Alligator mississippiensis: one gene and its partners. The protein of the gene in region 1 purifies or fractionates together with the protein of each later gene. This does not show direct contact. Links are inferred from orthologs where the notes say so. Each region holds a gene or a part of one and is shown in the gene's direction. Other genes may lie near its edges.

Region 1 (10,058 bases):
TCTATAAAAAAAAAAAAAGGAAGTTACCTCCATAATTTTTTTATTTTTTTTTTTGGCCTCCAATATGTTGTTAAAAGTCACTATCTTGTTAAGCTGATCACCTTCTAGTTGGATCACACTGCAATGGCAAATGAGAGCAAACACTGAGGGAACTGCTCCATAGTTGAGTCAGTAAATTCATGGATGTGCCTGCTTCCTGTATGCACAGAAAAACTGAGATAGAGGTCATGAAGACTCCTGTATTCTAAACATATTTCAGACTACCCAGTAAAAGTTTTTCTTCCAATTGTCAGTGAAAATTTTGGCCAGGGTTCTACCCATTACTGATGTTTCTGTCACCTTTCCACTACTTCTGTCCGGTGCAAAACTCCAGACTAAGAAAAACAATATTTAATTTTTTCCTTGCTATTTTAAGCATTTATTAAAGACTATAAAAGCAACCTGTTACTTCATCATTCATAATATCTCCCACAATGATTTGAACAGATGAAAAGTAGGCACTATTTGATAATTTAAACAAAAAAACTATTTAGAAACACTTGTACAGTTTGAATTTCCACTGAAGCAAAGAAAAATACTCACTGTCCTTTTCTCTAGAGTATACCTATGCCAGTCAGTGGTTCTTAACCTTGACTTCGAGCACCCCTCCATAATTTTTTGTAATTTAATAGCATCCCATTTAAAGATATTCTTTACCATGCTTACCTCCTGACAGCTCACAAAAGTCCCGTGGCATAGCAGAGTGGCCTTACTTGAATGCTAGTGCCCAGAGCCACCGTTTCCCATGGCTCCTCCCACCAGCTCCAGGAGCTTGCAGGGAAACAGCCCCATGGCCATCCAGCCACCTGCAGCAGACTGTACCGCTTGGACCATGGTGGTGATTGGCACAGGGGCTGCCATTAGGTGAGGGGTGTGCTTTTCAGCTCATTCACCAGCTCCCAGAGCTGATACAAGGGCCCACAAGGAGAGATGCAAGGACACCGGGACAGGCACAGAGTGCCTGGCATGTAGGGGCTCTTGTACACATGATGGCAGTTTAATCCTCAACCTGTACATTGAAATGGTATACTTTGAAATGGTGTACATTGAAATAACCCATACATTGAAATGGTGGGGCATAAAACAAAACCCTGAGGACTAAACGGTTTCAATTTGCCATCACATTACGGCACCTTTTTTTCTTGGAGCCAGAGCCTGCCTGCAGAGGGGAGGCAAGCTGGTAGCGGGCTGAGTGGTCCCTGAGCTGCAGGGGGGGGCACCCTGGTCCTTCCCTCCATGGTGGCAGCACCCCCCAGGGCTGCCTGGGCAGGCTGCTAGCAGGCCTGGTGCTGCCCCAGCTCGGAGGCAGCACCTGGCCTGGTCCAACTGTTCCCTGAGCCTGCCCAGGAAGCAGCGACCGGTGGGCTTCTAGCTTGGGGAACCGTTGAATTGGGCTGGGTGCTGCCTCTGAGTTGGGGCAGCACCCAGCCCACCTGGGAGGCCCCGGAGGGCACTGCTGCTGTAGAGGGAAGGACCAGGCCCCCTTGCAGCTCGGGGGCTGCTCAGCCTGCTGACAGCTTGCCCCCCAGCCATGGGCAGGCCCCAACGTTTCTCCCTTCAGCAGGCATCTACTGAAGGGAGAAACGGTGAGGAGCCTGATCCTTTTTTTCAGTGGAGCCTGCCTACCTCTTCCATGGCCCGGGGCAAGCTGCTGACACAGCGGTGGCCCAGGTGGTCACCCATTCTCCCCAAAGCTCAGGGGCTACTTAGCCCACTGGCAGCTCCTCTGGGGGAAAAAAAAAAAAAGGATCAGGCCCCTCGCCGCTTCTATCTTCAGTAGGTGCCTGCTGAAGGAAGAAGCAGCAAGGGGCCCAATCCTTTTTTCCTGCAGAGGCTGCCTGCAGCCAGTGACCGAGCTAACAGCTGCATCACTGCAATTTGCAAAGCTGCAAACTAAATTACATCTGGACAAAGTTTAGGTTGCAATGATACAGTCATTTAAACCCCCCAAACGTCTTGCATGTGTACACCGTGATGCTATTAAGCCACACAAAGTAACATTTTCGTCATGTGTACGTGTTAATGTCATCACATGTAGAAGCACCCTAGGAGCCAGTACTTAATTCCTCTCACAGGGGAGCACCCTGGTTGAGAATCCACATCACCCTGGTTGAGAATTACTAACCAGTACTGTCAGTGCCTCACAAATTTTTGACTCACTTTCCAAGTGACCCATATTTCACAATTGAAATCTAGGTCCTCTGAGTGCTGCACAGACATAGTCACTGGGAGACTTTCTATTTCAGATGGCTATGGTATGAGTAACAAATGCATCATTTCTCAATTTTAGCAAGAAAAAGCAAATGAGAACTTAGTGCCAGAGGTTCCTGGTCCTTCTGCTAAAGAACCTCTTGAAAAAGATACCAGTAATTTAATTTTCTGAATAGCAGGAAAACTATAGTATTACAATGATTTTTGAGCCATACAAAAATACCATACCATACAGAAAAGCCACAAGCTCCTGAGACCAGTGTTCTTAACTTTTTTAGACTCAAGGAACCCCTTGAAAATGTCTGCAGTTACTTAGTTCTCACTCAGTCCTTCCCTACCAAAAAATAACCTATTATTTATTGCTCTTTCTGCTGCAAAGAACCTGGAAAAACCACAACAGGTCAGAATGTTTTTAACACTCTGGTTTGCCATTTGAAATCTCTGGGTTTATCTTGTGAAGCATGTTTGCAAACCTAACAGTGGTAACATTATGTGGCCATGACACCTGTGAAAGGATCTCAAGGCACCCCAGGGTGCCTCAACATCCTAGTTGTGAATCCCTCATGAGGGCAGTTGTGGAGGTAAGGATTTTAAAATAGGTATTAGTTCAAAAATACAAAAAAACTCTCTTTCAATTCACATATTATACTGCTTTTATTTCTACTGTTTCTTAGCTAAAAACAAGCAGTATAGCACACTGAGATTAAATACTTTTTCCTACATGGTAAATTTTTGGCACAGATGTTTGTTTATTGCTACTTTTTAATTTGCTTTAGGTTGTGAATAACAAAGTAGGAAAAGTAAGATGAGCAGTGTATCCTCTTTGTATGATAATTAAATTAAGAAATTGTGAATTTATAAGGAAGCAGCTAGAGAGGGATCTACTTTTTGCCATTGTTAGGAGACAAAGTACTAAGAAAGATTGCTTAAGATATTCGGACTCTCTTTATAGTAATAATCACTACCAAAATGACTGCTCTCTTTCTATACTCTTACTGATCCTCAAACAGCAACCTATTTTGATTCTGCCGTAACTGAATCATAGAAAATTTGGGTTGGAAGGGACCTCAGGAGGTCATCTAGTTCAACCCCCTGCTCACAGCAGGACCATTCCCAACTAGATCATCCCAGCCAAGGCTTTGTCTAGCTGGATCTTAAAAACCTCCAAGGATGAAGGATGGAGAGTCCACAACCTCTCTGGGTAACCTGTCCCAGTGCTTCACCACCCTCCTCATGAAAAAGTTTTTCCTAATATCCAAACTAAACTTCCCTTGCTGCAACTTCAGATCATTGCTCCTTGTTCTGTCATCTGCCGCCACTGAGAACAGTTTAGCTCCATCCTCTCTGTAACTGCCCTTCAGATAGTTGAAGGCTGGTTGGTATTAAACTGCTGTCTCGGAACAGCTCTCCCCTAATTTCCCTGCCTGTAATTTGTTCAGAACAGAAATCCTGAATTTCAGAACTGTAGTCGCATCATTTTGGAATCTTATTTCGTCCAATATCACGGCTATCGTGAAAGTTATTTTTAAAAGGATAATAATATTCGGTAAATGTTTTTCAGTAACTTAAGAACCAAGACATTTTCTGCTTGGGGTGGAAGTTATTTTTCCTGAGATATAGCTGTTATTGGCAAAACACTAGAATTTGGGGCAAAAAAAATGTTTTAATTGACCCTGTGCGTACCTGCATGTTACAGGTTATAGCATGTTCTGCACTTCCTTGCGACTGCAAGGAACATGAGGACAATTCACATTTAAACCCAAAGAGCCAATCTTTCCACTGTGGCACGTTATTTACATTTTCTCTGCTTCCATTAATGGAATAAAAGAGTTGCATTTTATTAGCTCACCCTTTTACTTAGCTGCCAGGTATCTTGTTTGCAGCACAGTCTCACATCAGTGGACTTTGTTGAGATCATTCTATAAATTTTTAAATTTATATTGGTAACAGTATTGCACAGGTCCAAGTTAAAATTTAGAAGAAAAGCATTGAATACATTATAGCAGAGGCTTGCATACCAATAGGTCAGGCTGCAGCCTTACTAGCTTTGATGCCCGTACAAAGGGATTCACCTGCTTACAGCAAATTGTAGGGGTTATGTATTTCCACTTGAAAAAGGCTAACCAATTTTTTTTTCCCATTAGAAATATTGTCCAATTAAATAAACCTTCTTGTTCTAATAGTTCAAATAAAAGTCGAACTGTGTCAAAAGTTTTCAATATGTTCTCTTGAATAGAAAACCAGCACAAATATTCAAACATATTTAACAGTGAATTATAATCCCAGTTGTTAGATTCCTTATTTGGGACCTAGATAAACCAAATTACTTTGTTGTTCTGGAAAATCTTGGCTTTTTATGCAATTAAGAAAATATTTTTAGTTAATGAACACTTGCATTTAAAAGCTCAGGGTAAAAGCTATCATTTAATGCTGTACTAAAACTTAAATCAGGAAAGCACAAATTAATAGAATATTTTTCAGTTCACCTCCTTTATTTAAATATCGGTCAGAGAGAAGCGGGAGGCCGCACGCTTGTCTGAAATGAATGGTGACTACAGCTCGTGTTGTATTTCCACACACACTGAGTGACCCGCCCGCCCCACAGGTAAAACGAGACCTCTCCCAGGGATGCTGTGAAGCCCTCGGAGAGCCTCGGGAAGCCAGGCAGACCACAGCGCCGAGAGGGCTAGCGGAGGAGGCTCCAGACCTGCCTGGAAGACTCCTTTAAACCCAGCAGTAACATTTATTTTAATGCTTTGAATGTAATGCGTTATTACTGGAGGGATACGGTCAGGTTCATTTTCTTCCTCTCCCCCTGTCACAAATGGCGCATCGGCTTCTCAAGACGCTTCGCGGCTCACCTGTCCGCCAGGACACCCAGAGGTAAGAGCGGGACCGGGGACCCCGCCGCGGCCGGCCCGGGCGAGCAGCTGCCGCTGGAAGCCCCTGTCACTATCCCTGACCCTGGTGGGCCTGCGCCGGGGATGCCGCGGCTGTGGCGGGAGGGTCCCGGGTGCTGGCCGCGCGGGGCAGGGTCGGTGCAGCCCGACCCGCCTCGCCTCACATTTGTGGCCGCGGGGAGCGCGGGTGGCTGCGGCGGCGCCTCCCTGCCTTGCCCCGCGCTCAGGTGCGCGCGGCTCTGCCTCCCGGCGGCTGCGTGAGGGGCGCAGCGCCGCGGAGCCCCCGGGACACCCCGCCGGCTCGGCTCGGCTCGGGCCGGCCCGGCTCGTGCCCGCGCTCGGCGTGGCCGCGCGGCGCGCCCTCCTCCCCCGGGCGGCGCCGCGCCCGCGCCCTGCGCGATGCAGTGTGGGAATGGCCGTGGCGCTGGGGTTGGCTGAACGCGGCGGCCAGTCGAGGTTTCATGTCCGCCATGTTGGCCGTGGCGTATTGAGCGGAGCCGGAGCGGCGGCGGCGGAGGAGGAGACGAGCCAGCGCCCGGCCCAGCCGGCGCCGCCGGGCCCCGCGTCGGAGCGCGCCCCGCCCCGCCCCGCCGGGGGAGCCCCGTCCCTCCATGAGAGCGCTCGGCGGGGCCGGCTCCGCGCAGCAGCAGCAGCAGCAACAGCAGCGCCCCGCCGCGCCCGCGCCCCCCCGCCCCGCGCCAGCCGCCGCCATCGCCGCCCGACATGAGCAAACTGTCGTTCCGGGCCCGGGCGCTGGACGCGTCGAAGCCGCTGCCCGTCTTCCGCTGCGAGGACCTGCCCGACCTGGCCGAGTATGCCTCCATCAACCGCGCCGTGCCGCAGATGCCCACGGGCATGGAGAAGGAAGAGGAGTCGGTACGTGCTCCCCCCCACCCCGCGGCCGGGCCCCGCCATCCCTCCACCCTGCCTTCGCTGGGCCGGGCCCCCTCCTTCGCCTCTGCGCAAGCACAAAATGGCCGCCATCTTCTCCCCGCTCTCCCCGCCCGCGGGGCGCGGGGGAGGCAGGGCCCTGCCGCGGGGGGGGCAGCGCCGGCCGCTCGCCCCGTCCCCCGGGCCCGGCCGCGGCGGCCCCCGATCCCGCCCCGGCCGCGGCCGCCGGAGGGGCTCGCGCGGGCCCCGAAAGGCACAAAGGGGGTCACGTGACGCAGCGGGCGGCCGCCATTTTGTTGTCTGCGCTCCCTCCTCGGGCTGGGCCGGGCCGGGGCCGGGCTGCTGCCGCCGGGTGGCGCCGCCGAGCCGCGCGCGGGAGCAGGGCCCGAGATCCCACGTGGGGCAGCGGGCCCGGCCCGGCCCGGCCGCCCCTTGCGCCGCCGCCGCGTTACATAAGGGGTTGTGCCGCTCGCCGGCTTGGAGCTTCCTGGCGCAGCGCGGGGACGAGGTGCCGGCTGCCTCGCGCCGCGGCTCGACCGGAGCTTTCCACGTGTGAAGTGTGAAAGGGTCGTTGGCAACCCTCGGGATGGGGGGCGTGTTTGACTTTTCCCTGTGCGTTTGACAGCTCTTGTCGCTTTGGGTTCCCCCGGGACAGTGATTCCTCTCCTTCGCAGGAGGGGTTTGGGCCCCGACAAGGGGGTGCCTTCCTCCCCCACACGGGCAGCAGGACTGTGAACCCTGGAAGTGGCCCGTGGATTAGGGCTGCAGCTCACGCTTGCTACAAACTTCTGAATTTTAGTAGATTTTAAGTTGACAGGGCTGGTTTCAAGTGGTGGTCTGGGATGACGCTCTTGCTTGTGCTGCTGGCTCCTGATGCTCATTCAGTCCCTGTAAACTTGAAGGAAGTTCACCTTGGTTTTTAGGTGCCGCGTTCTGCACGCGCTGCTGTGCATTGACAGTTTCAAAAACTGACTGTGGACGTCTATGCAATGACTCTTAGTTTCTGAAAGAGCTGTGAAATGCCAGTTCTTTCTTATCTCTTCTTTGCTAGAATTATTTTCTCAAAGTTACAGTTTGAGGATTTATACTGTCGCATTTCCAGATCATATACAAACATTAATTATCGTTATTATCTCTTACTAAAACATCTTATCTTGAATGTAAGAAACATTTACTGAAAATGTTTGACACTGATGCTTCGTGGACGCTTCTTTTAGTAAAAGCCATTATTCAATTTTGCATTGAGTGGTTTTCACCGACTCAGATTAACTTTTGTGCATTAAGAATGGTTGGATACTGTGGGTGGCTTCAGTCATGTAGCTTTGCTTGAATCCAGATCTTCAGAATTTGATGGGTGAGGTAATCATCTTGATTTCCACTTGCATTAAAATTTAAGTAAAACAAGTTTTTATTATGATTACCATAGTAATTGGTCTGTCACATGTACTTTAATTGAAGTGTATATGATCAGTAAACTTTCATCTTTTGTCTGTCTTTTTTGCTGTAAGCTTAACAGATGTGAGCCTTTTGGGTAGAAAACTATTGTATTATGTTGTATTTAGGCTCAGGTGGGCTCACGCAAGGTTACCAGGTAGCCACTATCATAAACTTTACTGTTTGTAAAGAATCTGCTGCTATTTTAATTCTGATGTGATGAAGCATGGATTTTGCAAATAAGTTTGTTTTACACGTCTCTAAAATAAATGGCTAACTAGCAGTTTTAACAAAAATACCAATCTGTATGTGCTTCTGTTCTTAAAAGTGTTGTACTGAAGAAAGGTTACTTGTCACTGACAAATGCATCTGGTTAAACCCATTTAGAATTTCAGGGCCTTCTTAATAAATCAGTTGGTGTCCACTTTTTTTTCCTCTTCTTCCTGTTCCCTCCCTCTTAAAACTCTCTGCTACTTTTCTTTCCTGTGGTTATCTTTCTTTCAAAAAAACCCCAAACCATTTAGAGCATGCAGTCCCGGACTAGAGGCAAGACAATTCTGTGGACTGTTTCATTGTTTTTCCAAATTCCATAGGGGGGAATATCCACTTTATGTTGTGGAAAAGAGGGCATAAGTGAAATTGTGTGTATGTGCACATTTCTTCACCATTGACCACTGTGAACAATCACCTGTGGTGATATGCTAATAGTACTTTAACATCACTTCAAGTATGTGCTTTAATTTAAAAATCTGATTTTTTTTTTTTTTAAGAGTACCCTGTTTTCTGAAGGTGATTCATTTTTTTTTTTTTTTATTTTTTTTTTTTCTCCAGGGAAAGCAAAGAGACTTGATGTTCAAGCACTGCCTTTCAAGAACATTTAAATGCCCGTTTCATAGTTCTTGATGCACATTTCTCCGCTTACTTTTATCTGCCCCACCCCACCAAATAATTAGGGAAAGTAGGACTAATTTTATTAATAGCATGCGACTCTAGCAAAATGTTCTGAATGCATGGAGACAAAAATTACTAATCTTTCAGGATTAGTAATCAGGACCTGCATGCCTTTTTCCAGGTGTCTACAGCAGCTGTTCAAAAAGAATTGACAGCTTAATGTCTTAACTAGATTAAAATCATCCTCCTAACTAAATATAATGTTCCTTGCCATTTGATAAGCCAAGACTTCAATTATAGTGACTTTGTTTAGAGGTAGAAGACTTTCCAGGAGAAAGCTCTTTGTGTCATGTAATTCTAGTTGATAAATGACATACTTGAAGATTAATGCCCTCACAAGTTAATCTTGCAGCCACAAGTTCTTGTGCTATTTGAAAACTGTGTAAAAGTCATTGCTTAGAGAACCTAAAACGATTCGCAAGAGAGGAGAGAGAGAGAGAGTGAGTGTGTGTGTGTGTGTGTGTGTGTGTGTGTGTGTGTGAAAGATTGTAAACAGGAATAAAAAAAAGTTGGGATTTTCTTAAATTCATGCATTTCAGAAGTCTGAAATTTGAAGTGTGTGCGCTGGGAGGTTAGTTTGTATCCCTTTGTCTGCTCTATGATGTTTTCCTTTTAAAAATAACATGGAAGTGTATTTGTACGCCTGTTTCAAAATTATAAATTTGGATCTTAATGGAAATAGAATACAAAATGATGACTGGAGAGGTGGAGGGTGTTGCTGAAATTTGGGAAGAAAAATGTAGCAATTAAGTTTGTCAGTCAAAAAAAATTCAGTACTTTTTGTTTTAAGTTCAGTAAGTTACGTTTTGGAACGGGAAAACTGTTTTAGATGTTTAGAGATCTTTAGGAACATACTAAACCTGGAAGTCTCCCTCCTGAGCTGAAGGCTAGATTTGACTCTGAGAGTTTTCTGGACAAACAAAACACTGATAAAAAATGGTCCAAGAAATTTGCTGTAACACCACAAAGTGCTGTCAAAATATTATCTGTCAGTTTTATATTTAAAGACTAATTTTGTTAGCAATACTTTTGGTGCAATATAAAAAGTACATTTTTGGTGCTTTTAAAAAAGCTTGCCACAGGGGAACGATACATTTGTGAAACATAGATGTAGACAATCAAAGCCATATTTTCTGAAGTCCCTCAACTTTCAAGCAAAGTGGTAATGAGTATAGTTAAAATATCAGCAGCCTCAACCTGACAGTTTCTTAAGGTCTTCTTGGAAGAAGGACATAGGATAGGAACAAAGGGTTTTTCTCTCTTAATCCTGCATTTCTGCGCTTTGTGTTGTATAATAGTTTTCTTCTAAGACTAGAGTTGTGTGAACCAGAAACACTTGTTAGTCTTGTACTGGGGGTGGCGTATCCTCATTTGGGAAACAAAAATAAGCTATGCCAGGATAAGACATTTTTGTACCAGAATCATGTTAGGACTATTTTTTTAATAATTAAATTAGATATGTCAGTACCTTTAACTAACTTTAATAAACTTCCTAATATCTAGACTGTTTCTACACCACTTTCCGTATTTAACAGATGTGCATTTGTTTAGGGCTTAAGCTTCTTGATAATTTTACATATAAGAATTCTTATTAGGCTATATTAAATTGTGCAGACTGACTATATATAATAT
Region 2 (10,069 bases), on another chromosome or scaffold:
TATGGATGATTTCTTGTTATGTAATTTATGTTCAAATTTTTTTTTAAGTTTTATTGCTTAAGGATGGCTCCTCTGAGATCAGTGATGGAATATCCAGGGAGGTTAAAGTATTTCGCCATGTGCTTTTTGCGTGTTTCTGGAATTGATATCAAACTGATATCCATTCATTTTTTTTATATAGGAATGTCCCCACCTAGCCAACATAGACTGTAGAGGGGCATTGTAAGTAGGTGATGGCATTTATGACATTGGCAGAGGAGCAGGTGCATGAACCCTGGATGTTATAATTCACGTTGTTTGGTCCAATAACGATGTGGTGTATGTTGATGAGGGAGCACAGCTGGTATCTGGGTCTGTAGCAAGACCGAGTGGCTTGGTGAGATTTGGAGTTAGGTATTTGCTGCTGGAGAGAGGATATTTGAGGTCAGGGGCCACACAAGTTCAATTATCAAGCCTAATCCCTTTCTTTACAGATCCAAACACTTTTTAAACTCATTTGAGTTAACACTTAATACTTTCCCTATTTCTCAGTAAACCTTCTAATTTAAAGGGATTTTTCTCCCCACTAAAGGGATTGTTTCTCAAAATGTTTTTATAAACCCATTCCTTCAGGAACATGGAATATACCCTTTGAATGTGTCATTAACATGTAGGATGTGGGAAGCTGCTGTTGCTATTGCCAGTGTGAAATATTTTTGTTTATTCTTGTGTATCTGAGCAGTTTGCTCCTTCTTCACTGGGGAGCCCTTAGGGTACCTGAATTAGATGTAGAATAACATGGTGCCTTTTTGATTAATACACAAGTCTGCCTACTGAAGCATTGTTGGCTATCTTAGGGCTTGTCTGAACAGAGGTATACTAGTTTTTTTAAATGTTTATTGAAGCATTGTTTTTATCTGATACAGGAATAAACATGTACATAAACTGATAGATGCTCTGTGTGGATACTCCTATACAGGCTTAAACCCAGCTAATCAATTAGATAAACCAATACTCCAGGGGCAAATGGAGTGTTTAGATCCCTCTTAATGAAAAGGATATGCTTGAGGCACAAAATAGAGCAAATAGCACCATGACAGCTGTGCACAAACAAGGAGGCTGTGCACTTGAAAGCCTGATGAATGAACAGATGGTATCAATAGCGTAATGATGTAAGTAAACTATATCAAAGTAGGAGATCATAAAGCAATATCAAAATTCAGCCTGGCCCAGCAGCCATTGACAAATAAGCAGACTGTACTCAGCTGTCACAAATATGAGCATTCATATAGGGCAGGGGTCAGCAACCCCCGGCACACGTGCCAAGCATGGCACGCAAGGCCATTTTGCTCAGCACACCACTGCCAGTCTGGGCTCTAAGCAGCTGCTGCCAGCCACAGAGCTCAGGCTGCTCCTAGCAGGTGCCTGGGAGGCTGCAAGCAGACCAGGCTCCGTGGGCTGGCTGCAGCCGGGAGGCTGCAAACAACTGCTCTGGCCTCTGGCATGTAGGCACTCTGACACCTTCCAAGGTAGACATTGTGTTTTTTGTGGCACTCCAGCCAAAAAACGTTGCCTAACCCTGATATAGGGCAAGAGTTTTCAATGAACTATGCCAGCAAGATGGGGGTCTGCTAGTCCATTGCCCTTTAGTGGCCTGGCCTTCCCCATGTGAAGGTGGGTGCATAGAAGCTTCTGATTTAGATGTCTGTGGGCCAGCCACAAAATCCTCAATTGCTGAGAAACTTTTCTGAGAAGGATTTAATACCATTTTCATGCTGCCACCTCTCCCTAACTTGCCAAATGCCAACTAGCACCAGCTTGTGATAACGTGTATAGCTTCATACTACCAAGTGAGTCGTTCCCTGAAAACTCTTCCCCACGTGAACAAGCAATTGCAAAGCAAGCTGTGCAGGCAGGGCTAGTGTCAAGGAGATGAGATCGGTGCTTTATTATGTAGCACTTTGGACCTACATTGTCTGCTGTTACCTAATATGCCAAGCTACTGGAAAAATTAAAATATTCTGGCAGTGACCAAGGGAGGCTTGCTCCTGGTTCTGGATGAAGGTGGGGATGTAGTATACAGCAGACTGGTGTTGGGAGAGAACTCTTTTGCAGCTGTGCAATGACCAGCAGTAATGGGAGATCTTCAAGATGAAGAAAACCCCTTTTCTGGAAATCTGTGCAGGTGGCCTGCAGTGAATGTGAATTCCAAGATCTAAAGGAAATAGGTTTAACCTATGGTATAATAAAGCAAGCCTCCTGATGGAATCTCTTCCACTTGGCATGGAATAGGTAAAGACTTGAAATCATGCAAAGATGCATGAAAAAAATTCCAAAGAATCAAAAATGCTCTTGGAGTAAATGGTTGCTGGGGACTGCTTGTACTTCTTAAGCATAGCTCAAATATTTCATTTTCATGTTCTGCTGCTTAACAAAACTTGCTACCAGCAGAAATTCTTCATGAGGATGGAAAGTATAGCTGCTTCACAACCTTGGTTAAATTTCTAGTAGTTTTTCAAGTGTCTAAAAATATGAAGAAGCACCTAGACCTAGGGCTAGATCTAGTAAAGGATTTAGGCTCTTGGTTCTGTATTCTGCTCTAGGATCTGGTGTTAAGTTCCCTATACCTCCTCTACAGAGCACAAGGAAAGTTTGAGAACCACATCATTAGCAGGTTTCATAGATTTCATAGGCATTAGGGCTGGAAGAGACCTCGTAAGGTCATCAGGCCCAGCCCCCTGCCCAAGGGGCAGGAAGTCAGCTAGGGTCAAAGGATCCCAGCAAGATAAGCATCCAAATGTTTCTTAAAAGTGTTCAGAATAGGTGCTTGCACCACGTCTGGGGGGAGTCTATTCCAGGCCTGGGGGGCTCATACAGTAAAGAACTTTGTCCTTATGTCCAGCCTAAAATGGTCTTGTAGGAGTTTGTGACCATTGGACCTTGTCATCCCTTGGGGCGCTTTGCTGAACAGGCATTCTCCCAGATCCTGATGCATACCCCTAATGTACTTATAGGCTGCCACCAAGTCACCCCTGAGCCTGTGCTTCTCCAGGATGAAGAGTCCCATGGCTCTCAGCCTCCCTTCATAAGGCCTGTTCTCTTGGCCTCTGATCATGCACGTGGCTCTCCTCTGGACTCTCTCAAGCTTCTCCATGTCCTTCCTGAATTGTGGAGTCCAACCTTTCAACCTTCTTAGACTCAGCACAACCCTTGGGAAATGCTAGCTCTTGGCTTTCACTTGTTTGACTGAAAAACAAAAAGTACTAGAGCCATGAATGGCATGTGCCCCCGGTAGCTGTGGGGGCACGGCGGTGGCAGGAGTGTGGTGGCAAGAGCAGCAAGAGCCTGTGGCAGTAAGTGGGAGAGCTCCTGAAGACTCCACCAGCACTGTTGGCAGCAGGGGAGGATGGCGAACACGGACCAAGGGTTGGCGACCACCTGCAGCTGCTGTCAACATCGGCAGCAGCAGTCAGCAGGAATCGCGGACTGCCCACAGATGCCACTGGTGGTGGCAGCAGTGGGGTGGCAAGCGGCGATTGCCCATAGGCGCCGCTGAGTGTAAGTGGTGCCTTTTTCCAGGGGGTGCACCGCAACGCCCATGACTAGAGCAATTCTTTTACTGCAAGGAACACAGAAAGACCATAAGAACATAAGAACTGCCATTTGCTGGGTCAGACCATAGGTCTGTCTTGCCAGGTTTCTGCAGAGGGGTAGCATCACATAAGAGTGAAATCATGTCTGGCTGTGGAAAGCAGGGAGGCATAGTCTGCAAGCCTAGGTCTTCCCAGGCAGGGCTGCAGTTCCCTGTAGGCCGTGTGCACTGTATGCTTTACAAGGGCAATTATGCTTCAGTGATGGAAAGCCTGATGACTGAAACCCTGGAATTGGCTGGGAATGCTGCACGGGACAAGAAAACTCGCATCATTTGCACCACCTCTAGCTGGCGATCCACAACGACAAGCTCCTGGGGGGAGGTCACACTGCTCAAGGCAGGGTCCCACCCAACATCTAGGTGGTTCTGCTGCCTAAGAAAACGGAGAGCCACAAACCCAAGGGCATGTGAAACCTGTGCAGATTCAGGCCTAGACTTGGAAACATTCATAACACAACCCCCACACCTCCCCACGTCACAGAGGGGCAGAAAGTATATGCTAAAAGGGAGAGCAAACTGAGTATGAGCAGGGATTCCCTACCTTGCAGCCTCCAGCATTTAAGGTCTAGACCAAGGGTAGGCAATCAGAGCAGTCATTTTGCTTGGCAGTCACACCTCTGGGAAGGGGCCAGGCCTGCCGGTACCGCCACAACAAGGATCAGGCCCCTTGCAGCTCCCCCACCTTCTGCCCTGGGGACGCCAACACCTTTCAAGCCAAGGTTGCGGGTGTTTTTGCCACTGTGACCAAAAACATTGCTGATCCCTGGTCTAGGCAGTTCTGATTCAAAGGCTGGACCCCTAACTCCCTCACTCAATAGCTACCAATACCCTTCCTTTGCAGCAGGCCAGGGTGTTTTTGACACTACGGGTGCCTATTTGAAATCTCCGGGTCGCTTTAATGAAACGCGCAGTGCTGCTACTGCACGACCCCTGGCTGAGAGTCACCGTGCCAAGGAGGGCAACACCACCTGTCTGCCCGTCCCACCTGCTGCACCCGGGGCGGGAGATCTGCATCCTCCAAAGACCCCTTCTTTGCAGGGACACAAGTTGGGGTGGCCAGGTACAGGTGTTGGGCTGCAACTCCTCCAGTGACCTAGGGCAGGCTCTGGTGCCTCTCCCTGGGGTGTCTTTAATTTTCCCTGCGCCTGAGGAAGGGCGTGTGTGTCCGAAAGCTTGCAGAAAAAGACAACGTGTCTGCATCTCCCCCGGGGGATTCACCCCCGCAATTCCTTACCCAGCAGCTGCCCTAAGCCCCGCCCGGGGGTGGAGGGGAGGCACTTGCAAGTCCCATGTGTGGGACGGGGTGGGGCAGGGCAGAGGCAGGTGTCCGGGTCGCAAAAAGGCCCGTAGCTGTGCCTGAGCCTGGGCGCGGGGCCTCGGAGGCTGTAGGTGCCCGCGGGCAGCGCCGCCAGCGCCAGACAAAATGGCGGGCGGAGCCGGGCGCGCGGGAGCCAGCAGAGGGGTGGAGCAGGGCGCGCACGCGGGCCCTCGCGCCGCGACGCGCCGGGTCACTGGGCCTACACCGCCCCCCCCCTTCGCCCCGCGGGGTTCGCCAGGCAGCCGACGGCTCCGCAGGGCCGCGCCTGTCACTTTAAGTGTGGGCGTGCCTTCCATTGAGGCCCGGGCGCACGAGCCTCCCGCCCCACCCCACCCCTCTCCTCCCCGCCCGGCGGCTGGGCTCCGATTGGCTCCTGGGCCGCAGAGTCGCCACGCCCCCCTCGGCGGCGATTGGCTGGCGGTGGGATCCGGGTGCCCGGATGTGGGCACGTTCGGCGGTTATAAAGCACCGGGGGAAGGCGGGAGCCGGCGCAGTTTGAATCGCGGCGGGTACAGGTGTGCGGTGCTGCTGGGGTCTTGTTGTGTGTGAGAGCCGCTCGCTGCTTCCTCCCTCTCCCGCGCGGTGCTGCAGCGCCGCTTACGATGGTAGGAGGCCACGGAGGCGGGGGACGGTTGGGGGTGGGGGTTGCTCAACCGCGCTGCAGCGGCGGGGAGGAGGTGGTGGCGGCTGCATGGGGAGACTGGGCGCAATGGTTGGAAAGCTGGCACGCGTTGGGGCGCCCTCGCGTCTCGCCGGCCGCTGGGCTGTGGGGGAGGGGGTGCGCATGCGCGGCGGGCCGGCGGGAGCGCTCAGCGCCTGCGCCTAGCAAGGGACTCGGACTGCTGGGCGTGGGGGAAGAGCGCATGCGCGGCGCCTTGGCTCGGGCTGCTGGGCGGGGAGCGCATGCGCGGGGCTGTTGGGCGGTTCTTGCCTGAGACCCGAGTGACTGACTTGCTTCCAGGTGAGCTTATAGGAGGAAGAAGCTGGCTCCAGTGGGTAGGAGTTCGCTTCTGACTACCGCCTTCCTCCCTGTTTTGTAGGCTGGTGGTAAAGCTGGGAAGGACTCTGGGAAGACCAAGACCAAAGCAGTGTCTCGCTCGCAGAGAGCTGGGCTGCAGGTGAGTCTGCAGGGCTTCATCCCATTTATTTGTCCTTTAAGCCTTTTGCCTTTTTGTTTGGGAGTTTTTCTCTGTTTGCTGCTTGTCTGCTATGGGGCAGTCTGCTTCAGGAGCAGCAGGCTTCCATGTTAGAACAGCTGCAGTTGAAGTCCACTGATTGTCATGATTTTTAAAAGGCTAGTCTTTGGAGGGTGCTATTTTCAGCGCCTAGGTTTTGCATTACTTGAAGAGGTTTTTTTTTGTTTGTTTCAGTGCAGTTAAGGAGTAACAGCTTGGACTGGGAATGAACAGCTTGAACCATAATGCTGCTGCTGCTACTATATGGCAGGGGTCTTCAACCAGAGTGCTATGAGATGCTTCCAAAGGGGCTGTGGCACCCATGTGTCCTGTGCCAAAAGATGAGCAATTGCTCTTTCTCCTTGCTGGGGTTGGGCACCTCTAAAATCTGTCCAGCAGTACTTGTAGCTAGTCCCCATGCCTGGCAGCTCTTGCACTGGCCACCCTGCTCCTAACAGTTGCTCCAATGTGTGTGCATGTGAAGTGCATGAGCAGGTGGCCAGATATAGGTAGAGGACTACAATTTAAATCCTGAGTTATCCCCTGTCTGTTTCTCTCTTTCTGCCCCCTCCTTCCCCCCCCCCCCCCCAATGTGCCTGGCGTGGTGAGAGGCTGCAAGTGCATCTGGCTTCAGTTGCTGGCATTGGAAGCCTAGTGCTTACCCCTTCATGCACAGATCAATGGCTGGGAGGGGGCAGATGCTGGCAAAAGGGTACAGTGGGGTGAGGTCTTGCCTTGACACTCTTACCTGGTGTAAGTTGGCTTCTAACTCAATAGTTCTCAGCCAGGATGCTCCTAAACTCTGGAAAAAATAAAAAGGGCTGTTTTGAGGCTAAAAAAGCTGAGAATTGCTGTTTTATAGGATAAGGAATCATGCAAGAAGTGTATTCAAAATCACTATGCTTTAAATCTGATCAGCTTTTGTTACATCAAATAACAAACAGGCCTTCCTGTGATTTATTTTATGGTAGCTGTTGGCAGGGTTTCAGTCTTTCATTTGCCAAACCTTTTATGGTGTTTACACTATGTTCTTCCTGCTCTTGATGTCTTGCAGTTCCCGGTTGGCCGCATTCACCGTCATCTGAAGTCCAGGACCACTAGCCATGGACGTGTAGGAGCTACTGCTGCTGTGTACAGTGCTGCTATCTTGGAGTACCTGACAGCTGAGGTAAGGATACTGTTGGAGAGACTGGGAAAGGCAGTTAATATTCTTAAAAGGGGTAAATTGACTTAAATTGAGTCCCTTTAAATTGCTATAAATCAGTAGCCCAAATTTAAATAATTTTATCAAGTTTCCCATTGTATTTTTGTTTCCTTCCTTTTTTACAGAAAGGTTGTATCATCATTGGTTGATCTAACAGAACTTGTCCTACTGTAAAAACTGGATTAAGTTGCAAGTTGTATACATGTTTCCTAGGTACTCAAACTCTCTCTTCATAGCTTGTGTACCTAGAAACACATGTTCCAAACTTAGTTAACTGCAGTTTTTACAGTAGGTCAGTGTGTTTTTATTGTATCAACCAATGATAGATAAACAATATGGTCTTAAATGTATAACTTACAGCATTGCTAACAATCTGAATGTACTATTTTGGCATCCTAAATGTGAATTGTATGTTGTTCAGTAGATTTAATGTGCTCTTTTTTTATTAAGATGGTGACTTGTTTAATTTGGTGTTGGTTGTGTGTTTAAAAGCAACTTTAATGTTTTGGAAATAGAAATCATTATCAAGACTTGATTAACACTTGGATAACTAATTTATTAAACACTAGTATTAACTGTTATAGTATGCCATGAACTGCAATTTAGTGAATTAAACCAGTTATTTCGGATCACCCTGGGGAAAACTTTCTAAAATGTCTAGGTCTTGATTTCAAGACCAGTCTACCACTTTGTACACTTGAGCCCAGTGTTGGTCCTTTGCTCACACTCCTGCTTATTCCTCCCTGTTTCTCCTCCACACAGGAGATGAACACCAAACCAGTGCTTCTCCCTGTGATGTAATCCACCATACCCTCCCTAGCTTTTCCCTCGTCCCAACAAGCCATGCTTTCTGCTGTTGCAGCACACAAGGCTAGGGGGCTACAATATTTTAGTTTGGAGACCATGAATTGCATGAACTTCAAGTCTGCTTGCATCTCTGCATAGCCAAAGGAACCAAGAAGGGCCGTTTAACTGAAGTACCCAAACCCTTAAGAAGCCCCAGGGGGTTGGTAATTACTGAGCAGATGGTTGCTTTGCCATGAGCTGAGAAATAAGCCTCCATTATGGGTACAGTCATCGATATTCATAAACTGAGAACTGAGCCAATTGGATCGGGTAAAGACACAGACAGGCAGGAGTTTTGATACCTTCTAGGTGGGCCTGGTAGATGATGCTGATCAAGGAGTACACAGCTAGAAGAGGCCAGGTTCAAACACTTGTGATTACTTCGTTGATGCTTTGTATCCAGCATTATATAACCTTGCAGGGCCAAACCCCTAATACATGAAATATTGTGCTGTATTTCTTTTAAAGCTTGACCTCAAAAGTTAAATGGCTTCCCTACCCCCAAACCTTTGAAGAAAATCAACCTTTAAGTCCAGAGGGTTTTTTTATTGACTCAATATTTTATTTAAATTATATTTATATCTTGTACCTTAGTCTATACTGTGTTAAATTCAGGGTTCATTTTAAAGTGGCATACTTTTTTAAAGGGAAACTTAATTATTCATTTAAATCCAACTTTTTTTGCTTAACTCGGACAAATAAAAGCTGCATAATCATTGCCACTTGTATTCTGAGGTTTTAGGATAACAGATTTTCTGCTGTAATCAGAATTTGCTTTCATCTAAAAATACTTCAGTGAACTATTTTAGTGAGTCTTGAGGATCAGCAGGAAGGGAGTTAAGTTGGCATTTTGATGGAGGCCATGGTGTGGGAGTGAAGGATGTTGCATAATACAGTCAATGTTAAATCAGAATTGTACAAAACATGGGCTATCTGTGCTGTGGCATAGAGCTGTGTTTAACCCTTTTTAAGGAGCCCTATCCTGTGAGTCACACTATTAAGAGTACCTATCTGTAGGAGAAGTAACTACTAAAGCTATAAACAAGACATGGTATTTCTTGTGGGACTGGTTGTGCTCCATCTTCTAGAATGGAGAAGTTGTGGGTTTGACATCTCTACACATCTCCCTTCAAAGTGGCTGATTACACTGCTGCTTTTCCACCAGTAGGTGGCTGGAGAGAGCACACATCACAGTATGCCTGGTGCTGGTCAAGTTCCATAGGATCCCTTGGCTGCAAGTGCTGACAGAGCACCTGCTTTTACATTTTGGGTAGGTGGTGACATTTTTGTAGGATGAATTTTGGTGTTGGTCACTGCAGCTTGTGCCTTTTGAATATCTGCCCTTATTTCTGGTGTACTGATGTGGCCATCATTGATCATAAGCCAGAGCTTTCACCAGCAACACCTGCTATGGATCTGTATATAGTAATAGCCTTGCTGGCCCAGTGTCATTAACTTGTGGGCCTCAATGGCTGCTGTTACTACTTTCATTAGCCCTCAAGAACAAAGGTTGGGGGAGAAGCTCATGTGTGCTTGCTGCCAAACAGTAGGTGGGGCTGTGTCTACATCTGGCTTGTACTGGGCAGCAGTAGATACTGCTCCCCTAAAGCTGTTTTGGCTGCAGCTCAGCATCTGGCTGAGCGTATAGGGGATCGACTCCAAGTCATGAAGCGGTGTTTCTGGGCCAAGGAGATAAGCAGCAACTGGTAGGAGCAGATTGTTTTGGCCACCTGATGATAGGCAATAGTGCATACCCCTGGACATGCAGAAGTGTACCTTTATGGAGATTTGTGCCAAAATTGTCTTGCGCATACAGCCATGGACAGTGATGATGAGTTTGCCCTTACCTGTAGAGAACTGCGTTCCTTGTGTTACATAGACGTTTATGACCCCAG
Region 3 (10,065 bases), on another chromosome or scaffold:
AACGTTTAGATTTGAACATCTAAGTTCTCTCTAATGTTTATCTAATACAACTAATGTGGTTTATGTAGATCCGTCCTCAGCATAACAAGAGCCGTTTCAGTTCTTGGTGAGCCAGGACAACGTGAACGCTCAGAGAAAACTGATGAACAGTCCGTGTTGGAAAAGCTCTAACAATAAACTCAAGTTTTTCCTCCCTAGTTTTTATTACTAGCATCATTTGCATGTAAAGAGGGTCTTTGTGAGGTTCTGTTCCTGTGGAGATAGAATTCTTTTGATTGTGACATCACAGTTATTCACCGAGGAAATTATTTTATTGTCACAATGAGGATTAAGGTTTCAAGAAAGGAATGAGCAGGAGGGACTACCCAATCAGCCAAATAACAGAGGTCCTCCTTCATATCTGTATGTCTAATACAACAAAAGAAGAGGAAATAACACAGAAGCAATGATATCCTATATTAACACTTTTTTTCTGAACACAATGTTTCAGCTAGCAACCATCTCAGGAGGAATCAGTGAGCCACATGTTTATAATTCTCACTATCCTTCATTTTCAGTGTGGCTTGGAAAATATTCGCAATGTATCAACAGCGGTTGCAATGCTGCAGTTTTATCTGGGACAGCTATGTTTGTAAGTTTTTAATATAAATTGCATATCTGGCAACAACCTTCCAGGTGTTCTTTTGAATTTCACTTATCACTTTGTAACAGAAAAAACCTGAGCGCTTTGTAAATATTAATTAAAACCATATGGGAGTGATCCAGTGGGCATGGCACTGCCCCTGTGTGACTTCAGGCATTTCTTTGTTTCATGATCCACTCTTTGTCTGTCTAAAACACAAGCTCCTTGGAGCTTAGGCTTTTCAATATCCATGTGCAAACTACCTCCCTTTAAGTACTATTGCAATCCTATTACCGCTTATAGACAATCTTGTAGAACTGAATGTGGATGAACCCATTCAGTCTCCTCAGAAATTTTAAGTCTTTACGGGAAATACAGTGTACTCCACTTGTCTGCATACTGGGTAAATTTGTCATATTTTTGCCTTATTTTGTATAATTGTCTTAATTTGCATGACATAATACCAGTCTTAATTTTTTTGCCTATAGCTCGCATTGTAACAAATATTGGTTACGTGCACAAACTGTTTAAGTGCTTAGCATGTTTTTTCCCCATTGCCTCCTTTGGAACATAGTTGTACTCTGATTAACTGCATAGAACTAGGTGAAAGGAAAGCAGGTGTCAAAAAAGCTGCTATTAGAAGCCTTAAAAATGCTGGGAACTACTTGTTTTATGGATGCTATCCCTTGGCATTTTCAAGGAGACTAAAAGCACCCATGATGCTATTAGGAATCTTGAAAATAAAGCTGGTTTGTCTAGCAGACACCTGCTTGTTGTCTGTATGCCTTACAAAATGAAGCTAATCAATTTGGGGTAGGTGACCACCTGTCCCTAATTGGGTGGGACAGTCCCGACAAGGGAAAATTAAGTCTGGGTCCTGGCCTGCATGACTCTGGGACAGCATTTTTCCTGGATTCCCAGTATTACACAGGGATCTGGGTTTTGTGTTCACCATGGAAAAACATGTGAATAGCAGGTTTCCCCTTACAAGCTGGCAGAGCTCCAGGGGCTGCAGGGAACGGGATGAAGGGGGCAACATGTGCATGTGAACACGTGCACGTGTCCAGGAATACAGCCCCAGGCAGCAGTGGAGAGCATCTCTCCCAGATGCCTGAAGGTAAGTCTATGGGGAGGGGGGCAGATTGAGGCCCACACAGTGAGAGGGAGTGGGGCAGGTCTGGCAGCTGGGGCTGAGGATGATGCCCAACCAAGGCAATGCATGGAGCCCGGGGCAGGAATGTGAGACCGCAGAGCCCAGCCGGGTGCCGGATGGAGGCGCGGGCAGCTCATCCAGGAGGTGGAGAGGGGGAAAGCTCCCTTCTGCTGCATGCACTCCTGGGCAGGGAGGCATGAGAGGTGCCTGTGCTTCCCCAGATTTGTACATGGGGTGGGGAAGGATGTAGGGCTCTCCTGCCCTCAAAAGCCCTGCACCAGCCTCACTGCCTGCTCACCTGGCAGCAGTGGCGCAAAGTTGTGTCCCTCGCTGCAGCTGGGTGCACAGGAGGCACCTTGCCATGGTGGCTCAGCTGGCGCAGGCTCCTGGGGACAGATAGCAGAGCGAGGAGCCCAGATCCTGCAGTGTACATCCCACATCCCCCCACGGGCTCTTGCAGCTAGCCCTTGTTCTGCCTTGCTGCCGGCTGTTGGCTGCTCCTGGGAAAAAAGCTCCTATTTCACAGCCCTGCAGATGGCATTTAACACATTCTGGTAAAGAGATCCCAGCTTTTCCTTCCGTCTCAAACAGAATAACCCAGCTCTGAGCCCCGGCTTACGAGTGGAGCTTCTAGTTTAACAGGGGGAAAACCAGGCATTGCTTTCTACAGGACGATGCTGACTGCTGTTCCCCTTTGCAGATGCAACAAAAATGGTCCGGGGGTTGGGGCACATGATTTATGAGGACAGGCTGAGGGAACGGGGCTTATTTAGTCTGCAGAAGACAAGACTGAGGGGGATTGAATAGCAGCCTTCAACTAGCTGGACTGTTCTCAGTGGTGGCAGATGACACAACAAGGAGCAACGGGCTCAAGTTGCAGCAAGGGAAGTTGAGGATGGATAGTAGGAAGAAATTTCTCACAAGGAAGGTAATATAAAACACTACAGCAGGTTACCCAGAGAGGTGGTGGGATCTCCATCCTTGGAGGTTTTGAAGACCCAACTAGACAAAGCCTTGGCTGGGATGATGTAGTTGGGCCTGGTCCTGCTAACTCGGAACTAATGTTCCCATAGGAGCAATGTTATAAATGGGGGATTGGTTCCTGAACCCAGGTCCGAAACCCTGTTTTCACCAGAATAACCCAGAATGTTGTGCTCAACCAATTATAGATGAGTCATATAGCTACAGTAATGTATTTATATTGTAAATAGCAATCCTATTGATTTGCAAGGACGTCTTTGAGGTGACTTTGTTGGGCCTTTTGAAGGGCTCTTGGCGGGACCTTTCAAAGGGCTCTTGTTGGGAGTCTTCTCAGGAGTCTTGTCCACAGCTTTGCCAGGACTCCCATCTGCTTTCTTAAAGAAAGCATCCCAGGAAGTTGGCACAGATGTTCTCTGGGGAGAATGGCAATGCCATGAACTCCTTCACCGACGTGGCGTTGGGTCCAGCGTTGTCAAGTCAAACCCGGCGTCCAAAAGCGTCCACGTACAAACGTCAGAAGTGCCGTTTGTTGCAAGTCAAAATTGATGTCAAGGGGTCCGTTCATAAACGTTGTAAGTGCCGTTCATCACAAGTCAAGACTGATGTCACGGTGTCTGTTTTCAAATGTCCGAATGTTCACAAAAGCTGTAAGTGCCGTTCGTCGCAAGTCAAGACTGACATTGAGGTGTCTATTTATGAACATTGTAAGTGCCGTTCATTGCAAGTCCCGACTGCCACCAAGGTGTCTGTTTTTGAACGTCCTACATGCCGTTCGTCGCCAGTCGAAACCAACATCACGGTGTCTATTTTCGAATGTCAGAACTGCCGTTCATTGCAAGTCAAAACTGATGTCAAGGTGTCCGTTTTCAAATGTCTTAAGTGCCGTTTGTCGTGAGTTTTGGCTGACATCAAGGTGTCCACATACAAGTGTCAGAAGTGCCATTTATTGCAAGTCGAGACTGATGTCCCGGTGTCCGTTTTCGAATGTCCCAAGTCCCGTTCATCACAAGTCGAGACTGATGTCAAAGTGTCTATTTACAAACGTCATAAGTACCATTCGTCGCAAGTCAAAAGTGACGTCAAGGTGTCCAGTTATGAGTGCCGTTTGTCTCAAGTCAAGACTGACATCATGATGTCCGTTTTCAAATGTCCTAAATGCTGTTCATTGCAAGTTGAGACTGATGTTAAGGAGTCTATTCATGAACATCGTAAGCAATGTTCGTCACAAGTCCTGGCTAACGTCAAGGTGTCCATGCGCGAGTGTCAGAAGTGCTGTTTGTCACAAGTCAAAACTGACGTCACGGTGTCTGTTTTTGAGCGTCCTAATTGCCGTTCGTCGCAAGTCCTGGCTGACATCAAGGTGTCCATGTACAAGTATCAGAAGTGCCGTTTGTCGCAAGTCGAGACTGACGTCACGGTGTCCGCTTTCGAACATCCCAAGTGCCATTCATCACAAGTTGAGACTGACGTTAAGGTGTCTATTCACGAATGTGGTAAGCGCCGTTCGTTGCAAGTCAAAACTGACGTCACGGTGTCTGTTTTTGAGCGTCCTAATTGCCGTTCGTCGCAAGTCCTGGCTGACATCAAGGTGTCCATGTACAAGTATCAGAAGTGCCGTTTGTCGCAAGTCGAGACTGACGTCACGGTGTCCGCTTTCGAACATCCCAAGTGCCGTTCATCACAAGTCGAGACTGACATTAAGGTGTCTATTCACGAACTTTGTAAGCGCCGTTCGTCACACGTCAAAACTGACATCACGGTGTCTGTTTCTGAGGGTCCTAATTGCCATTCATCGCAAGTCCTGGATGACATCATGGTGTCCATTTTCGAATGTCCTAAGTGCCGCTCATTGCAAGTTGAGACTGATGTTAAGGTGTCTATTCATGAACATCATAAGCGCCGTTCATTACAAGTCCTGGCTGACGTCAAGGTGTCCACGTACACGTGTCAGAAGTGCCGTTTGTCGCAAGTCGAGCCTGATGTCACGGTGTCCGCTTTTGAACGTCCCAAGTGCCGTTCATTACAAGTCGAGACTGACGTAAAGGTGTCTATTCACGAACATTGTAGGTGCCGTTCGTCGCAAGTCAAACCTAACGTCAAGGTGTCCGTTTTCGAGTGTCCTAATTGCCGCTCATCGCAAGTCGAGACTGACATCACGGTGTCCATTTTCGAACGTCCTAAGTGCCACTCATCGCAAGTTGAGACTGATGTTAAGGTTTCTATTCATGAACATCATAAGCGCCGTTCATTACAAGTCCTGGCTGACGTCAAGGTGTCCACGTACACGTGTCAGAAGTGCTGTTTGTCGCAAGTCAAGACTGACGTCACGGTGTCCACTTTTGAACATCCCAAGTGCCGTTCATCGCAAGTCGAGACTGACGTAAAGGTGTCTATTCACGAACGTTGTAAGCGCCGTCCGTCACAAGTCAAACCTGACATCAAGGTGTCCGTTTTCGAGTGTCCTAATTGCCGTTCATCGCAAGTCGAGACTGACATCATGGTGTCCGTTTTCGAACGTCCTAAGTGCTGCTCATCGCAAGTTGAGACTGATGTTAAGGTGTCTATTTATGAACGTCATAAGCGCCATTCGTTACAAGTCCTGGCTGACGTCAAGGTGTCCACGTACACGTGTCAGAAGTGCCGTTTGTCGCAGAAGTGCACGGTGTCCGCTTTCGAACGTCCCAAGTGCCATTCGTCACAAGTCAAGACTGACGTTAAGGTGTCTATTCATGAACGTTGTAAGTGCCATTCGTCACAAGTCAAAACTGACGTTAAGGTGTCCGTTTTCGAGTGTCCTAATTGCCGTTCGTCACAAGTCCTGGCTGACGTCAAGGTGTCCACGTACACGTGTCAGAAGTGCCGTTCGTCGCAAGTCGAGACTGACGTCACGGTGTCCGCTTTTGAATGTCCCAAGTGCCGTTCATTGCAAGTCGAGACTGACGTTAAGGTGTCTATTCATGAACGTTGTAAGTGCCATTCGTCACAAGTCAAAACTGACGTTAAGGTGTCCGTTTTCGAGTGTCCTAATTGCCGTTCATCACAAGTCCTGGCTGACGTCAAGGTGTCCACGTACACGTGTCAGAAGTGCCGTTCGTCGCAAGTCGAGACTGACGTCACGGTGTCCGCTTTCGAATGTCCCAAGTGCCGTTCATCGCAAGTCAAGACTGATGTTATTCATTAATGTTGTAAGCTCCGTTCATCGCAAGTCAAACCTGACGTCACGGTGTCCATTTATGAGCGCCGTTCATCGCAAGGCGAGACTGACGTCAAAGTGTCTATTCACGGTTCGTCGCAAGTCAAACCTGACGTCACGGTGTCCGTTTATGAGCGTCCTAATTGCCGTCCGTCGCGAGTCAAGGTGTCCGTGTACGAGCGTCGTTAAAAGCGCCGTTGGTCGCCAGTCAACGCCTCCCGTGTCCGAGCGTGCCCCTTGCCGTGGGTGTGGGTGTGCGCGGGCACACACCACGTTTGCTAGTGCAAACCCCCCGCACTCGCGTGCGCTGGCGGCCCGGTGCAGGCCCGGGTGAGGCGCGCGCGGCCTGTGGCGGGCGGGCGCCAGGGGGCGCCGGGGCCTGTCGTGGCGGGCCGGGCCGGGCCGGGCCGGGCCGGGCGCCATGGGGGAGGCGGAGGGCGGCTCGGCGGAGAAGCCCCCGGCGCCGGCAGCGGCGGGGGGAGCGGGGCCGGAGGCCGGCGCGGCGGCCGAGGAGGCGGCGGTGGTGTGGAGCCCCGAGGTGGAGGTCTGCCTCTTCCACGCCATGCTGGGCCACAAGCCCGTGGGTGAGCGCAGGCCGCAGCGGAGCCTCGGGCTCGCGTAGCGGCGCCAGCCGGGGAAGGCGCGCGGCGGGCGGGCACCGTCAGGATGGACCCACCGCTCATCAGCAGCGAGGGCAGCCTCCACCGGGCGCGGGGACGCGGGGGGGGGTGCTCAGTGCCAAAAGACCATTCACAAAAAACCCCTAAAAAAGTAATTATAAATATGATAAATCAAAATCCCAGCATGATGCTTCTCAGCCAGGGTGTTGCAGCCCCTTGGGATCGTGTCGGGGTGCCGGCACGATTCCCCCAGAGGTGATACACAGGACAAGCCTTCAGACCCACATTTGTGACCTCTTTGCAACAGGAGAATTGCTCCGGGATGTTGCCGAAGTCAAATCATGAGTGAAAATGAAGAGCTGTCGTTTTCCAAAGGGGTCTTCGGGTCTGTTGTGGGGCGCCGCGAGTCTGAAAAAGTGTGAGAGCCGCTCTGCGCTTTTATTATGTATTTAAAAATTTAAAAAACCTGAGTAAAAGCCAAAAGCTGGCGTTTTCTAAGCGGCGTCTTGCGTTTAAAAACCTTGAGAGCCGCTTCTGTAGGTCTAGAGACGGCGCGGCGCGGCCTGGGGCATCGGGCGTTGCTGCCTAGGGGTTGGGAGGAAGAAGCAAGAAGACCCAGAAATGTGTTTATTTGAGTAAATACCCTTGGATAACCAGTCTTTCCAAACTACTGGTTTGCACGAGTCGAGGAGAGCCCTGTTGATCCTTATAAGTATACATTTATAAGTATATCAATATAGTTATAAATGTAGAAAAATGTGGGCCTATACGTATATCAATATAGATATAAATGTATAAAAATGTGGGCCTATACGTATATCAATATAGTTATAAATGTATAAAAATGTGGGCCTATACGTATATCAATATAGATATAAATGTATAAAAATATAAGCCTATAGGTGTATATATAGTTATAAATGTATAAAAATGTGGGCCTATATGTATATAAATATAGTTATAAATGTATAAAAATGTGGGCCTATATGTATATAAATATAGTTATAAATGTAGAAAAATGTGGGCCTATACGTATATAAATATAGTTATAAATGTAGAAAAATGTGGGCCTATACGTATATCAATATAGATATAAATGTAGAAAAATGTGGGCCTATACGTATATCAATATAGTTATAAATGTATAAAAATGTGGGCCTATACGTATATCAATATAGATATAAATGTATAAAAATATAAGCCTATAGGTGTATATATAGTTATAAATGTATAAAAATGTGGGCCTATATGTATATAAATATAGTTATAAATGTATAAAAATGTGGGCCTATATGTATATAAATATAGTTATAAATGTATAAAAATGTGGGCCTATACGTATATAAATATAGTTATAAATGTAGAAAAATGTGGGCCTATATGTATATCAATATAGTTATAAATGTAGAAAAATGTGGGCCTATACGTATATCAATATAGATATAAATGTATAAAAATATGGGCCTATACGTATATCAATATAGATATAAATGTATAAAAATATGGGCCTATACGTATATCAATATAGTTATAAATGTATAAAAATGTGGGCCTATACGTCTATCAATATAGATATAAATGTATAAAAATATAGGCCTATACGTCTATCAATATAGATATAAATGTATAAAAATGTGGGCCTATACGTCTATCAATATAGATATAAATGTATAAAAATATAGGCCTATACGTCTATCAATATAGATATAAATGTATAAAAATGTGGGCCTATACGTCTATCAATATAGATATAAATGTATAAAAATATAGGCCTATACGTCTATCAATATAGATATAAATGTATAAAAATGTGGGCCTATACGTCTATCAATATAGATATAAATGTATAAAAATATAGGCCTATACGTATATAAATATAGATATAAATGTATAAAAATATAGGCCTATACGTATATCAATATAGTTATAAATGTATAAAAATGTGGGCCTATACGTATATAAATATAGATATAAATGTATAAAAATGTGGGCCTATACGTATATCAATATAGTTATAAATGTATAAAAATGTGGGCCTATATGTATATAGATATAGTTATAAATGTATAAAAATATAAGCCTATAACTATATAAATATAGATATAAATGTATAAAAATGTGGGCCTGTACGTATATCAGTATAGTTATAAATGTATAAAAATATAAGCCTATAACTATATAAATATAGATATAAATGTATAAAAATGTGGGCCTGTACGTATATCAGTATAGTTATAAATGTATAAAAATATAAGCCTATAACTATATAAATATAGATATAAATGTATAAAAATGTGGGCCTGTACGTATATCAATATAGTTATAAATGTATAAAAATGTGGGGCTATAAGTATATCAATATAGATATAAATGTGTAAAAATATGGCCCTATATGTATATAAGTATATAAATAATACCAAGGGGGGGGGGCATTTTAACCTGGCATTTTACGGTTAGCCCGGCGTAGTTCAGTATGAATTACGCTGTGATGTGATCACCGCGTGTAAACCTAAGTGAATAGTGCCGCTCACTCAGACTTCTTCCTTCCTTCAGGTGTGAATCGCCACTTCCACATGATTTGTATCCGAGACAAATTCAGTCAAAATATCGGACGTCAGATTTCGTCCAAAGTGATTTGGGACCATCTAAGCACTATGTACGACATGCAAGCACTTGTGAGTATTGAAGCTCGGCGTAGGGGGAATACTGATTTTTCTTCTGTAGGCTTCACTAGCTTTCTTACAAGTGTCTTGGTCAAAAGGCCTGAATCTTGTGTCACGGCGGAAATTGGGACTAAATCCACTGGAGTTTTCCCTGTGTAAAATGTTACAGGAGGAGAGGACCCAGCCCGTTATTTTTGGTGTCACATCTTCATGGAGTTCTCTGGAAGATTTTTGGCCCTTACAACCCGATCTTGCAAGTCATCGGTTCATACTTAACATTACCCCTGTTAGTACGTCTACGCACTTGCACAGAGTTAGTATGCAGGGCCCAGGGCATTATTGCCATACAGGCATCTTGATGTCACTATTACGAGACTCCTGACCTCCCACTTATGAATGATTTAAACTTCTCTTGCATATGAAATGACGTGTGTGCGTTAGAAAACTTCCGGACTGATATTTTAAGAAAATCCTTTACAGATTTTTTTTTTTTCCTTTTTAAGCATGAATCTGAGATTCTCCCTTTCCCGAATTCTGAGAAAAACTTCATCCTGCCTGAGGAAATTATTCAAGAGGTGAAAGAAGGTGAGATTTGATACCAGTGTTTATTAGTCTCAAAACAGGAAATCTATTTGAACTCCAAAAGGAGTGAAAGCAGGATGAATGTACCAGCCTGAAGCCAAATCACTGTATTGTGATGTTAAGGGTCATGGAGTATATCCATAAGTGAAATGTAGATAGGATCTTTGCTACCTTGATTTGGTACCAGCAGATTCAGGTTAGAGACTTTGGGTATGAATTAGGTCTTTCACTTACTTCAGTGGGACCTGGGT

Evidence for each region.
Region 2: the proteins of EPC1 (region 1) and histone H2A.Z purify together in Homo sapiens (affinity purification with mass spectrometry; 4 studies listed by BioGRID and IntAct, with this or other methods). This does not show direct contact. The link is inferred for Alligator mississippiensis from reciprocal best matches to the Homo sapiens genes EPC1 and H2AZ1.
Region 3: the proteins of EPC1 (region 1) and MRGBP purify together in Homo sapiens (affinity purification with mass spectrometry; 6 studies listed by BioGRID and IntAct, counting the BioPlex papers as one, with this or other methods). This does not show direct contact. The link is inferred for Alligator mississippiensis from reciprocal best matches to the Homo sapiens genes EPC1 and MRGBP.

The regions. Positions count from the first base shown.
Region 1 is NC_081828.1:193,083,476-193,093,533, reverse strand, and holds the start of EPC1 (enhancer of polycomb homolog 1), read left to right. Parts: upstream 1-5,547; 5' UTR 5,548-5,873; coding exon 5,874-6,026; intron 6,027-10,058. UniProt on the Homo sapiens protein: Component of the NuA4 histone acetyltransferase (HAT) complex, a multiprotein complex involved in transcriptional activation of select genes principally by acetylation of nucleosomal histones H4 and H2A.
Region 2 is NC_081825.1:161,262,001-161,272,069, reverse strand, and holds the start of histone H2A.Z, read left to right. Parts: upstream 1-5,422; 5' UTR 5,423-5,551; coding exon 5,552-5,554; intron 5,555-5,989; coding exon 5,990-6,067; intron 6,068-7,178; coding exon 7,179-7,292; intron 7,293-10,069. UniProt on the Homo sapiens protein: Variant histone H2A which replaces conventional H2A in a subset of nucleosomes. Nucleosomes wrap and compact DNA into chromatin, limiting DNA accessibility to the cellular machineries which require DNA as a template.
Region 3 is NC_081832.1:4,882,493-4,892,557, reverse strand, and holds the start of MRGBP (MRG/MORF4L-binding protein), read left to right. Parts: upstream 1-6,355; 5' UTR 6,356-6,370; coding exon 6,371-6,533; intron 6,534-6,876; exon of another isoform or gene 6,877-6,920; coding exon of another isoform or gene 6,921-6,987; intron 6,988-9,122; coding exon 9,123-9,244; intron 9,245-9,735; coding exon 9,736-9,817; intron 9,818-10,065.